Linked DNA regions of Macaca fascicularis. The protein of the gene in region 1 purifies or fractionates together with the protein of each later gene. This does not show direct contact. Links are inferred from orthologs where the notes say so. Each region holds a gene or a part of one and is shown in the gene's direction. Other genes may lie near its edges.

Evidence for each region.
Region 2: the proteins of RBL2 (region 1) and CCNA2 purify together in Homo sapiens (affinity purification with mass spectrometry; 3 studies listed by BioGRID and IntAct, counting the BioPlex papers as one, with this or other methods). This does not show direct contact. The link is inferred for Macaca fascicularis from reciprocal best matches to the Homo sapiens genes RBL2 and CCNA2.
Region 3: the proteins of RBL2 (region 1) and LIN37 purify together in Homo sapiens (affinity purification with western blotting; 5 studies listed by BioGRID and IntAct, with this or other methods). This does not show direct contact. The link is inferred for Macaca fascicularis from reciprocal best matches to the Homo sapiens genes RBL2 and LIN37.

Annotation. Positions count from the first base shown.
Region 1 is NC_088394.1:49,426,618-49,430,265, forward strand, and holds part of RBL2 (retinoblastoma-like protein 2), read left to right. Parts: intron 1-1,589; coding exon 1,590-1,720; intron 1,721-3,648. UniProt on the Homo sapiens protein: Key regulator of entry into cell division. Directly involved in heterochromatin formation by maintaining overall chromatin structure and, in particular, that of constitutive heterochromatin by stabilizing histone methylation.
Region 2 is NC_088379.1:126,897,655-126,901,909, reverse strand, and holds the start of CCNA2 (cyclin-A2), read left to right. Parts: upstream 1-1,384; 5' UTR 1,385-1,622; coding exon 1,623-1,835; intron 1,836-2,609; coding exon 2,610-2,853; intron 2,854-4,162; coding exon 4,163-4,255. UniProt on the Homo sapiens protein: Cyclin which controls both the G1/S and the G2/M transition phases of the cell cycle. Functions through the formation of specific serine/threonine protein kinase holoenzyme complexes with the cyclin-dependent protein kinases CDK1 or CDK2.
Region 3 is NC_088393.1:42,984,432-42,988,245, forward strand, and holds the end of LIN37 (protein lin-37 homolog), read left to right. Parts: intron 1-843; coding exon 844-964; intron 965-1,146; coding exon 1,147-1,197; intron 1,198-1,513; coding exon 1,514-1,543; intron 1,544-1,623; coding exon 1,624-1,709; intron 1,710-1,796; coding exon 1,797-1,963; intron 1,964-2,719; coding exon 2,720-2,860; intron 2,861-2,948; coding exon 2,949-3,022; intron 3,023-3,095; coding exon 3,096-3,177; 3' UTR 3,178-3,220; downstream 3,221-3,814.

The DNA of each region.
Region 1 (3,648 bases):
GAATTTCCAGTTTTTCTCATTTTCATTTAGACCAGTAATGAATACAGTGAAGCCAAAGGACAGCTTCCATCCTTCCTCGCTTTTATAGGAAGAGGAAAGTTGTATCACTTCTTGAATAAAAAACGATTGTGAAGATGATCTTTTAGAAACAATGCCTTAAAAATTATTATTTTTGAATGTATCTGGTAGGGGATCCACAATAGTCTCATTTGGTTATAAAAATAAATTTTATGTATTCATGTATGTGTTTTGATTAGGTATAAAATTAGTGGCTGAATATCCATTCAAGCTTAATTTTGTATTTCTATCACTTTTCTAGATTTTGTGCAAGATTAAAAATATAAACAATAGGCCGGGCGTGGGGGCTCACGCCTGTAATCCCAGCACTTTGGGAGGCCGAGGTGGGCGGGTCATGAGGTCAGGAGATCGAGACCATCCTGGCTAACACATTGAAACCCAGTCTCTACTAAAAATACAAAAAATTAGCCGGGCATGGTGGTGGGTGCCTGTAGTCCCAGATACTTGGGAGGCTGAGGCAGGAGAATGGTGTGAACCTGGGAGGCGTAGCTTGTAGTGAGCCGAGATGGTGCCGTTGCACTCCAGCCTGGGTGACAGAGCAAGACTCCATCTCAAAAAAAATAAAAAAAACAACAACAATAATATTGTTTCCATTACTATGGCTATGTAACAAATTGCCTTAAGGCTTTGGGGCAGAAAACAATTTGTTTGGCTCACAGCTTCTGTAAGGAATTCAGGCTGGGGACAGTGTGGATGTCAAGTTTCTGCATCAAAATGACTGGTATCTCACCTGGAAGACTTGAACAACTAGGTACTGGCAGAGCTGGAGCTCATTGGGCATCTCTGTATGTTTGTTCCATGTGGTCTCACCAGCATGGTGATCCAGGGTAGCTAAATTCTTTCATGTTGGTTCAGTACTCCCAAGGTACATGTCCTAAGAGAGAGAACCAAGTGGAATCTATATTGCCTTGTATAATCTTTAGTATTACATAGTTTCACTTCCACCTCTGCTGTTGATAGAGACAGTTAATCAATGTGAGAGATGCAGACCCTTGCCCAGGTCCAAGGTGAGGGAACCCTCTCTACCTCTCAGTGGAATAATGTCAATGTCACATTATAAGAAGAGCATATGGAACTGGGTACAGTGACTCAAACCTGTAATCCCAGCACTTTGGAAGGCCAAGGCAGATGGATCACTTGAGGCCAGGAGTTCAAGACCAGCTTGGGCAACATGGCAAAACCCTGTCTCTACAAAAAATACAAAAATTAGCCAGGTGTGGTGGCGCACGCCTGTAGTCCCAGCTACTTGGGAGGCTGAGGTAGGAGGATTGCTTGAACCTGGGAGGTGGAGGTTGCAGTGAGCCAAGATCGTGCCACTGTGCTCAAGCCTGGGTGACAGAGTGAGACTCCATCTCAAAAAAAAAAAAAGAGCATATGATATAGGGTCATCATTGAAAATAAGTTTCCCACAAAAATATAAACAACACTTTCAATTTAAATGTACTTTAAAAAATATTGAAATATATATATGTAGCTTATTAACTAAAAATCAATTTTCTCTTCTTTTACAGGGAAATGATCTTCATTGGTTAGCATGTGCCTTGTATGTGGCTTGCAGAAAATCTGTTCCAACTGTAAGCAAAGGGACAGTGGAAGGAAACTATGTATCTTTAACTAGAATCCTGAAATGTTCAGAGCAGAGGTAACTATGTTAGAGTTTGAGAAGTAGAGTATGGCTAATGTAAGCTCATAAATCATAGCGATAGTAAGAATTATGTCTGTTCATCATTTTCTGAGCATTTGTACCTGTGGACTGGTGAAATTAGATGCTAAAACTAGCATCTAATGATTTTCCTTTATTTGTATCAAAGTTAGTATCCCTTATATTTTACTTCTTTGGTGAAAATATTTAAATTTTAATGTATTAGGCACTTGTATGGAAGAATTTATTCTTAAAGGTTAGGACATTGTGTAACATTGGGAGAAATGAAGGATATTGAGAAACTTTAGGAGATACTCTAAGTTGAAAAGGCAAATAAAATATTATTTGCTATTATACTTAGAAATATGTGCACAGGACTTGTGGTCTTAATATAAATAGAATGAGTATTTCTCAGTTTCCTGTTTGGAGGATAAATGACATGATTATAATCCATTTTAGAAAGGGTCAAATATGTTTAAAAGAAGAGGCAGAAATTGCTTTATCTGTTGTGTAATTAAATTGATTACATTTATTTTTTGTGCCTTTTAGGTGAATTTTCTTACATAGCTTATTAAAGATAAGTGGAAAAATGATGTTTAGCATTTTGGGGGAAATTGCGACTCAAAATTTATGGATTTAATGGTTTTAAAAAAATCACTTACTAAATAAAAAAATTAACTGGGTGTGGTTGTGCATACCTGCAGGCCTAGCTACTTGGGAGGCTGAAATGGGAGGATCACTTGAGCCCTGAATGTTGGAGCAGTACTGCACTCCAGCTTGGGCAACAGCAAGACCTTGTCTCCAAAACAAAAAACAAAAAAGGTTACTATTTAAATAATTAACAGGCTGGGCGCGGTGGCTCACGCCTGTAATCCCAGCATTTTTGGAGGTCGAGGTGTGTGGATCACTTGAGGTCAGGAATTGGAGACCAGCCTGGTCAACATGGTGAAAGCCCGTCTCAACTAAAAAAAACGAAAATTAACTGAGTGTGGTGGCGTGCGCCTGTAATCTTAGCTACTCAGGAAGCTGAGGCAGGAAAATCACTTGTGCCCGGTAGGCAGAGGTTGCAGTGAGCCTAGATCATTGCACTATTGTACTCCAGCCTGGGTGACAAGAGTGAGACTCCATCTCAAATAAAATAAAATAATTCACAATGTCATGTTTTAGCTGACGTTGTCAATTTTAGTAATCTTTTTTTAACCTTTAACTCCATCCTGAGTTACATTGGCCAAAGAATCAGTATCCAGAATTATATAAGGAACTACTAACAGGGTTAATAAAATGAATAAAGAATATGACTTCACAAAGGTTATAATTTGTATAGCTAATAGATACAAGAAAAGATACTCAATGTCACTAATAAAGACTTTCAAAGTAGAAATATAACATTTCTTTTTTTTTTTTTTGAGGTGGAGTCTTGCTCTTTCACGCAGGCTGGAGTGCAGGGGCGTGATCTCAGCTCACTGCAATCTCCACCTCCCAGGTTCAAGCAATTCTCCTGCCTTGGCCTCCCAAGTAGCTGGGATTACAGGCACACGCCACCACACCTGGCTAATTTTTTGTATTTTTGGTAGAGACGGGGTTTCACCGTGTTGGCCAGGATGGTCTCCAACTCCCGACCTCAGGTGGTCCACCCGCCTTGGACTCCCAGAGTGCTGGGATTACAGGTGTGAGCCACCATGCCTGGCCAACATTTTATTCTTATTATTGGGAAAATTTGAAGTCTTTTATGCCAACTTTGGTCACTGTACAGGGAAACAGGAACTCTCTTTTTTTTTATTTTTCAATTCCCTTTTTTTTTTTTTTTTGAGATGGAGTCTCACTGTGCTGCCCAGGCTGGAGTGCAGTAGCTTGATCTCTACTTACTGCAACCTCTACTTCCCAGGTTCAAGTGATTCTTATGCTTCAGCGTCCCAGAGTAGCAGGGA
Region 2 (4,255 bases), on another chromosome or scaffold:
TAACCTACCAATTATTTTTTCTAGGAGATAGGATTGATTTGCAACTGATTTTCCTTTTGCTTGGTGATGTTTTATGACTCTGCTGCAGTTTGTGGAAATGCTGGACTTGGCTCAGTGCTATAAATTGTAGTCAGGGAAATAAGAGCTTACACAGAGTCGGGGGATCTTAACTAGACATGCTGTAACCAGTGGAGCTATTCAAGCATGCTACAAGTGAAGAGTGCAGAAATAGTGATGCCATCTTAGATTTTCCTATACCAGTATGATCTCTTTTTATCATATATGACATTAAGGCTACAGAAGTTTTGTACATTAATCTTAATTCATATTTATTAATTTCAAAGAAATATTGAAACGTCTTAAAATGGCATAAAGATAATGGAAAATAAGCTTTGTTTCAAGAAGGGCAGACTCACTAATTTTTTAGAAAACAATGCTTCTTAATGATATGCTATTATACTTACTAGGTACGTGCAAGCTTTGTATATAAATATTAAAATTTGTTACAGGCACATATATAGTTAAGAGAATTTTATTTTAATAAGATCATATTGTTTTTACTATATTTAAAGAAACTTTACTTCTGAAAGGAACATAATTTATCTAGGTCACTAGAATGTCATTGTATTTTTTGTTGGCTGCCACAGCTTGGGGAAAAATAGATAAAAATTAATGACTCTATTTGAATATTTTGTAATGCATTGTATATTTATTATATATATATCAACAGTAGTTCAAGGTGGCACTTAATTGCATCTTCATTAGGAAAAATAAAAAGCATAAAACACAATTTCTGGTTACTATGAATAAATGCCTAAATGTTAAGATATTACTACAGTCTGACACTTGAGTACTGTATTACTTACTATGTGAGCTCCGTGTTAATTTATGCACATTATTTAATCCTAATAACCGTTTGACTGTAGTTATTAGTCCCTATTAACAAATAAGAAAACGGAGAATCGGAGATACTGAAAAACGTGGTCCAGATTTTAGACCTTGGGAAAAAGTCACTTGAGCTAACTAGAGGTCCCAGAGCTAAAGGCTGGGCAGCCCAAATGATAGTCGCCAAAGTTTAATTCCGCTTAATTCCCTAAAAGGCTTAGAGTCAGCCTTTGGACCGCCTCGCTCTCTAGGTGGCTCAAAGTAATCGGAAGCTCGGGCCCTGAGTACCCCTAGCTCTCCCCGACCCGCGCAGGCGTTTTCTCCCGCCCCAGCCCCAGTTCGTTTCTCCCTCCTGCCCCGCCCCTGCTCAGAGTCCTTTGGTGCTTCCTTCATTCGCTTGCGACCCTGTCGCCTCGAATGACGTCAAGGCCGCGAGCGCTTTCATTGGTCCATTTCAATAGTCGCGGGATACTTGAACTGCAAGAACAGCCGCCGCTCCGGCGGGCTGCTCGCTACATCTCGGGGTGTCTTTGGCCCGCCACGCCCGGCCGTGCCTTCCTGCGCCTTTCGCAACCTCCTCGACCCTGCGTGGTCTCGAGCTGGGTGAGCGGGCGGGCGGGTAGGCTGGCCTGGGCTGCGACCGGCGGCTACGACTGTTCTTTGGCCGGGTGGGCTGGGCAGAGTGCACGCTGCTTGGCGCCGCAGGCTGATCCCGCCGTCCACTCCCGGGAGCAGTGATGTTGGGCAACTCCGCGCCGGGGCCTGCGACCCGCGAGGCGGGCTCAGCGCTACTAGCATTGCAGCAGACTGCGCTCCAAGAGGACCAGGAGAATATCAACCCGGAAAAGGCAGCGCCCGTCCAGCAACCGCGGACCCGGGCCGCGCTGGCGGTACTGAAGGCCGGGAACCCGCGGGGTCTAGCGCAGCAGCAGAGGCCGAAGACGCGACGGGTAAAGGGATGCGGGATGTCTGCAGGAGGGTGGGTCGAGCAGGGTTTGGCACTGGCTTAGCAGGCAGAGAAGAGTGGCGAGAAGGCATGTCCTGGGCTTTTGGAAGGGGGCCAGAGTCTGGAGTCCACTTGGTGCTGGTGTGTGGGATGCCACAATAGGAATTCTCCCATTATTAGCATCAGGACCCCGCCAACACTGTGTATGCTGCCTGTCTGCTCTCTATAGGTGGCATCTGCCTGTACATAATGGGGTCAAACCAAGCTCTAAAACGTGTAGTCTTCGCTCAGCTCCGCGCCTTTCTCTCCACTTTTAAACCCCAGGCACTACTGTAGGACTCTGACCCCCCTCCTCCTCATGGTTAAGAGATAACCTCTACTTTAGAAAAGGGTGTACGAAATAACTTTGCTTTTGGCAAATTCCGCCATTTTAGCCGGATTTGCTCTGTTGCTCCACCCTCGGGCGACAGTGGTGAACCAACACTTTTTTGCCATGTCTTTCCTAAACTTGTCATGTATTGACTTGCCACCCGACCCTTCTTGTGGCCCTGATTAGTTTTGCATAATTCCACCTAGTGTTATCTATTGATAGCCTTTGTGGGAATGCCTGTGACAAATGGGAACATCCCTTCTCTTTTGAATACTCAAACTATTGTTTGTCCCAGAAAGTTTAATTCCTGATAGAGTATTTGGGAGAAAAAGCAAAGGCCAACACCCATAAGAGAAAGAATGCAAAACTATTTAGTAGGCTCAAAGCCAGTTATTTATTTTTGTTTAGGTTGCACCCCTTAAGGATCTTCCTGTAAATGATGAGCATGTCACCGTTCCTCCTTGGAAAGCAAACAGTAAACAGCCTGCGTTCACCATTCATGTGGATGAAGCAGAAAAAGAGACTCAGAAGAAGCCAGCTGAATCTCAAAAAACGGAGCGTGAAGATGCCCTGGCTTTTAATTCAGCCATTAGTTTACCTGGACCCAGAAAACCATTGGTCCCTCTTGATTATCCAATGGATGGTAGTTTTGGTAAGTTTTAAGGAAAATCTATATGAATTTACGGTAATTATAATTATTAGATATTAATGATTTGCATTTTAAGATGTCTTATGTAGTCATTTTGATTACAGTGAGTTAGGTTTAATGTAACAAGGCTTAGAAAGGATGTGACTTATCTCAGATCTCACAGCTAACACTCGACCTGGTGATGTACAAAAGGATCCTAACCTAGTGCTCTTTCAGGTTCACTGCCAGTCACATCAGTCTAATTATAATTAGATCTTAAATGCTTATTTTAATCTGATCCCATAAATGTGTTCTTGGTTGGGAGAATAGATTTCAGTTTTATTTAACTCACTTATATATCACTTAGAGAGTGCTATTTGAAGATGCAGTCTTAAATATTGTGATTACATAACATCTCTTCCAGTTTTATAATTTTGTTTCTATAAAACCAGTCTGGATTATCATCTGATACCAGAAGGTGACACTTTTCCTCCTACAAGTAAACAGTTGTACCATGGCTGTTTACTCTTACCCATGTATTAAAGTAGCTGCTGCAAACAGCTCTTTGCAGTTTGTACTGTTTCTTTGCCCTAGGGATATCGAGTCACTGGACAGCTCACTAAATCCAGTCTCATTTTAGTTTTAGTTGTATAGATCGTGGGGAAGGAGGGGTGAGCAGGAAAAGTCCTTTGGAAATAATAATTTGTGTGTTTTTATCAAAATTTTGCAGAAAATGTTTAATCTCAAGGTGATCTTTGAAGCGAAAAGAATAATGGATGATACTCTTTGCTTCAAAAGATAATTTATACTACAAAAAATAAATTTATAGTGTTAATCCATTTGCCCATAACAAACCTAATTTCTTAATAACACTTGTTAATGGAGGCCATTTAACTGATTCTAGCTATCGCCTAATTGGGCTTTGTATATGTCAGACTCTGGGATCTGCAGTCTCTCTTAGGGCAAATCTTAGATATTATCTCAAAACTTGGATTTTAAATGTTCTGTCCTAACAGAACCACCATGCCATCTGCTCCTTTCTGTTGTGGAAGATGGATACTTTAAGATAATACCTGATTCTCGTTTTCCTGTTAGGGGCCTACTAATATGGTTTTCTTTCCCCCTTCATTAACTAAAATCATTCCAAAGCTATATGTACAGAGATACTGAGACTAAGGTAAAATATTCTACCTTTTTCGTCATGAGAAGCTCTTTTTAGTTTGATGAAATAAGTGCTTTGTTAATATGAAATTCCTTACAAGGGCAGTCATTTTTAGCTATTAAACTAAGTAGACAAACAATTAATTTAATCATATCTTTTTAATTGTCCCAGAGTCACCACATACTATGGACATGTCAATTGTATTAGAAGATGAAAAGCCAGTGAGTGTTAATGAAGTACCAGACTACCATGAGGATATTCACA
Region 3 (3,814 bases), on another chromosome or scaffold:
ACTGCCTCAACCAGATTCTGCACTCAGGTTGAGCCTCTGTCTCATAACTTCAGCTTTGGAACCAGACAGCCTGGGTTCAAATAATCAGCTCTGCAATTTCTTTGCTGTGTGCCTTTGAGCATGTGGCCTAACATCTCTGTGCCTCAGTTTCATTCTTTTTAAAATACGAATAAAAATAATATCTATCTGAGCCAGGCTCTATGGCACGTGCTTATAGCCCCAGCTATTTGGGAGGCTGAGACAGCAGGATCACTTGAGCCCAGGAGTTCAAAACCAGTCTGGACAACATCATGAGATCCTTTCTCAAGGAAAAAAAAATCACATCTACCCCTAAGAGTTATTGTGATAATTCAGTGAGTTATCATGTATAATACATAGGTATTTAAACCTTGCCACTGGGACAGGCACAGTGGCCCACACCGGTAATCCCAGCACTTTGGGAAGCCTAGATGGCTCACTGGAATCCAGGAGTTCAAGACCAGCCTGGTCAATATCGTGAGACTCCACCTCTATATAATTTTTTCTAATATCATATTAGAAAATTTATATCATAAATTTATATCATATTTATATATTATATCATATTAAAATTTATAATGATATAATTTATATCATATTAAAACACATTTTTTTAAAACCCAAAAGGCTCATAAGGTAAGGTGATTGGCTTTGCCTCCTGTCACAGTGCGATTGGGCGGGACAGCTCTGGAACTCAGAGCTCTTGGCATCACTCCAGCCATCTCTGCCTGCTGCACCCTTTCAGGCTGCCTGGGCCTGGCTCTGAGATTGGCCAGGGCAGATGGCACGCATGCCCCTCCCTGACCCAGTCTGCTGTCCACTTAGCTGGGGCCTGGGAGCTGACTCCTGCTGGGTTCCCTCTTGCCCCAGAGCTGGAGATGGCCAAAGCCCGGAACCAACTGGATGCCGTCTTGCAGTGTCTGCTGGAGAAGAGTCACATGGACAGGTAGGCCAGCGTGGGGTCACAGGGCCAGGCACCCTGGCAGGTTGGGGCCTCTGATCTTGGGTGGATTGGGTGGGACCCCAGAGGCTGACTTGGGGAGGAAGGTGCTTAATGGAGAGGCTGCTCGGTGCCTCCCTTCTCTGGGGCCCTGGAACCCTGAGCTGAGAGATCGCTTCTGCCTCTAGGGAGCGTCTGGATGAGGAAGCTGGGAAAACGCCCTCAGACACCCATAATAAGTGAGTTTTTCTGATTGGATTTGGAGCTGAGGGTTTGTGGTTGGTAACTTCTTCCCTTATCCAAGCCCTGACCGCTCAGCCCAGCACTACCTCCATCAAAGTCCTGACCACTCCACCTGTACAAAGACCCTGCAGCAGGAGCTTAGGTCCCCTCGCATTTGCCTCCTAGACCCCCACGGGTATGGGTGGGACAAAAGGCCCAAGAGGCAAGTGGGGTTCATGTGAGCATCTCAGGTTTGATACCAGTATCCCCAGGGTGCCCTCTGCAGGGTTTTGCACAGGCATTTGTCTGAGGGTCAACTGTCTTTCCCCACAGGGACTGCTCCATCGCAGCCACTGGCAAAAGGTAAGGTGGCAGGGTCCCAGCCAGCTGACTAGAGGCTCTCAGCTCCTACCCCAGTCCTGACACTCCCTCTCCCTACGCAGGCCATCTGCCCGCTTCCCCCACCAGCGGAGGAAGAAGAGGAGGGAGATGGATGACGGGCTGGCTGAGGGAGGGCCACAGCGATCCAGTGAGTAGACGGTGGCCCTAGAGGGTCGGCAAGGAGCTGAGGGCCTATGCGAGGATGCTCACACACCTCCCATCCCCACCCTCCCAGACACATATGTGATCAAGCTGTTCGACCGCAGCGTGGACTTGGCCCAGTTCAGCGAGAACACGCCACTGTACCCGATCTGCCGTGCCTGGATGCGAAACAGCCCCTCTGTGCGCGAGCGCGAATGCTCTCCCAGCTCACCCCTGCCCCCGCTGCCTGAGGATGAGGAGGTGGGATGGGTAGTGGACCCCAGCCCAGCAGCCTGGTGCCAGGGCAGTGGGTGGATAGGCTTAAAGGATCCTGCCCCTAAGCTAGAGGGGTAGACAGACACAGGTCCCTCACATGAATCCTGGATCAGGCCAGGCACACAGATGTGCACCCTTAGGCTGGGGTGTGGATCGAGGTCCCTAGGGAAGACATACATAGCCACCTGGCCTGGGGGACAGGGAACAGGGTTACCCTGGACAGTTAGATGTGGATCTCCAAGATCAGGGGTTCCCAAGAGCCGAGGGGCTAGACAAGGGTCCTTAGTACAGACAGAAGTGGCCACCAGGCCTTGAGGAGCAGATGGGCTGGGCAGGAACGGATGGGGGTCTATAAGCCATCTGGCCCAGGAGGGTAGACAAGGGTCCCCAGGACAGACATATAGGACCCTTCACGCTGTCAAAAATGGACAGAGCTTCCTAGGTGGCACAGATGTGACCCCGTGGACAGGATTCCCTGAGGCAGGCAGACGTGACTCCCTGGGCTGACAGGTGTAGATGGAGTTTCTGGGCTGGATAGGAGAAGACAGGGGTCCCTGGGGCAGGCGGACTTGACCCCCTGGCTGGTTGAGGTGTCTGCCCTTCAGACATGCCTCCTGTCTGAGTCCCTTAGTGAGCCCCTCATGCCATTTGTTGCTGGGAAAGGCAGGAGGGATGAATGTGGATTCCCAGCCCCTCTGCTTTGACTCTCTTGGGCCTGGCTTGGGGCCCTTGTGTCCCCAGGGCTCAGAGGTCAACAACAGCAAGAGTCGTGATGTGTACAAGCTGCCGCCACCCACACCCCCCGGGCCACCTGGAGATGCCTGCAGATCCCGCATCCCATCCCCACTGCAGCCTGAGATGCAGGGCACCCCTGATGATGAGGTGAGTATGCCAGGCTGGCCCAGGGTTATGGGACACATGTGGTGGGGCTCAGGAATGTCTACTCAACCTGGCCTCTCTGTCCATGCAGCCCTCTGAGCCCGAGCCCTCACCCTCCACACTCATCTATCGCAACATGCAGCGCTGGAAACGCATCCGCCAGAGGTGAGCGTCCCCCAACCTGCTTGCCCCTCCTAGGGCCTTTTGCAACTGCTGAGTCTTCCCTCTGCCTCCCCAGGTGGAAGGAGGCCTCTCATCGGAACCAGCTTCGTTACTCAGAAAGCATGAAGATCCTACGAGAGATGTACGAACGACAGTGATGTTCCCAGGTCCCCCCACCCCAGTAAACATCCCCCAACTCCACACTGGTGTCTGCTCCGGTCCATCCTTCCTGGCCCAGACACAAAGCAGTTGGCAGAGCTCTAGCACATTTATTGGGAGAGTGAGCCTGGGAAAGAGTAAGGGAGTGGTGGCAGGGAGAAAGGCTGTAGGGAATCAGAGCCGGTGCTCAGCTGGGTCTTGAAGGAGAAGAGGAGGAGGGTGAGAGGTGGGTTGCCGAGGATTATCTGGTTGAAGAAGACTTGGGGGTCAAGACAAAGGGACTTAGGGGGACGGGGTCTGGTTAGAGTTAGGGAGGGGGCCTAGGACATTCGTGCAGAGTCTGGGGAGGTTTGGGTGGGAGAGTCTGTACAGTTTGGGGTTGGGTGTTCTGGTTGGCCTGGGATAGGTGTCCAAGAATTAGGGTGGTCAGAAGAGGGTTCCAGAGTCTGGTGTGGCTGGCTGGGGTTTCACAGCAGAAAATGGGCTGGAGCGGGGCAGTTGTGGACTGTCTGGTCGTAGGGGAAGGATCAGGTCTTGGGAACCAGGCCTGGATGGTCTGGAGTGGGAAGTCTGTGCAGTCCAGGACATTTGGGAGGTGGGGGGATTGTGCCTGACAGGCCTGGGGTTGGGGGAGGG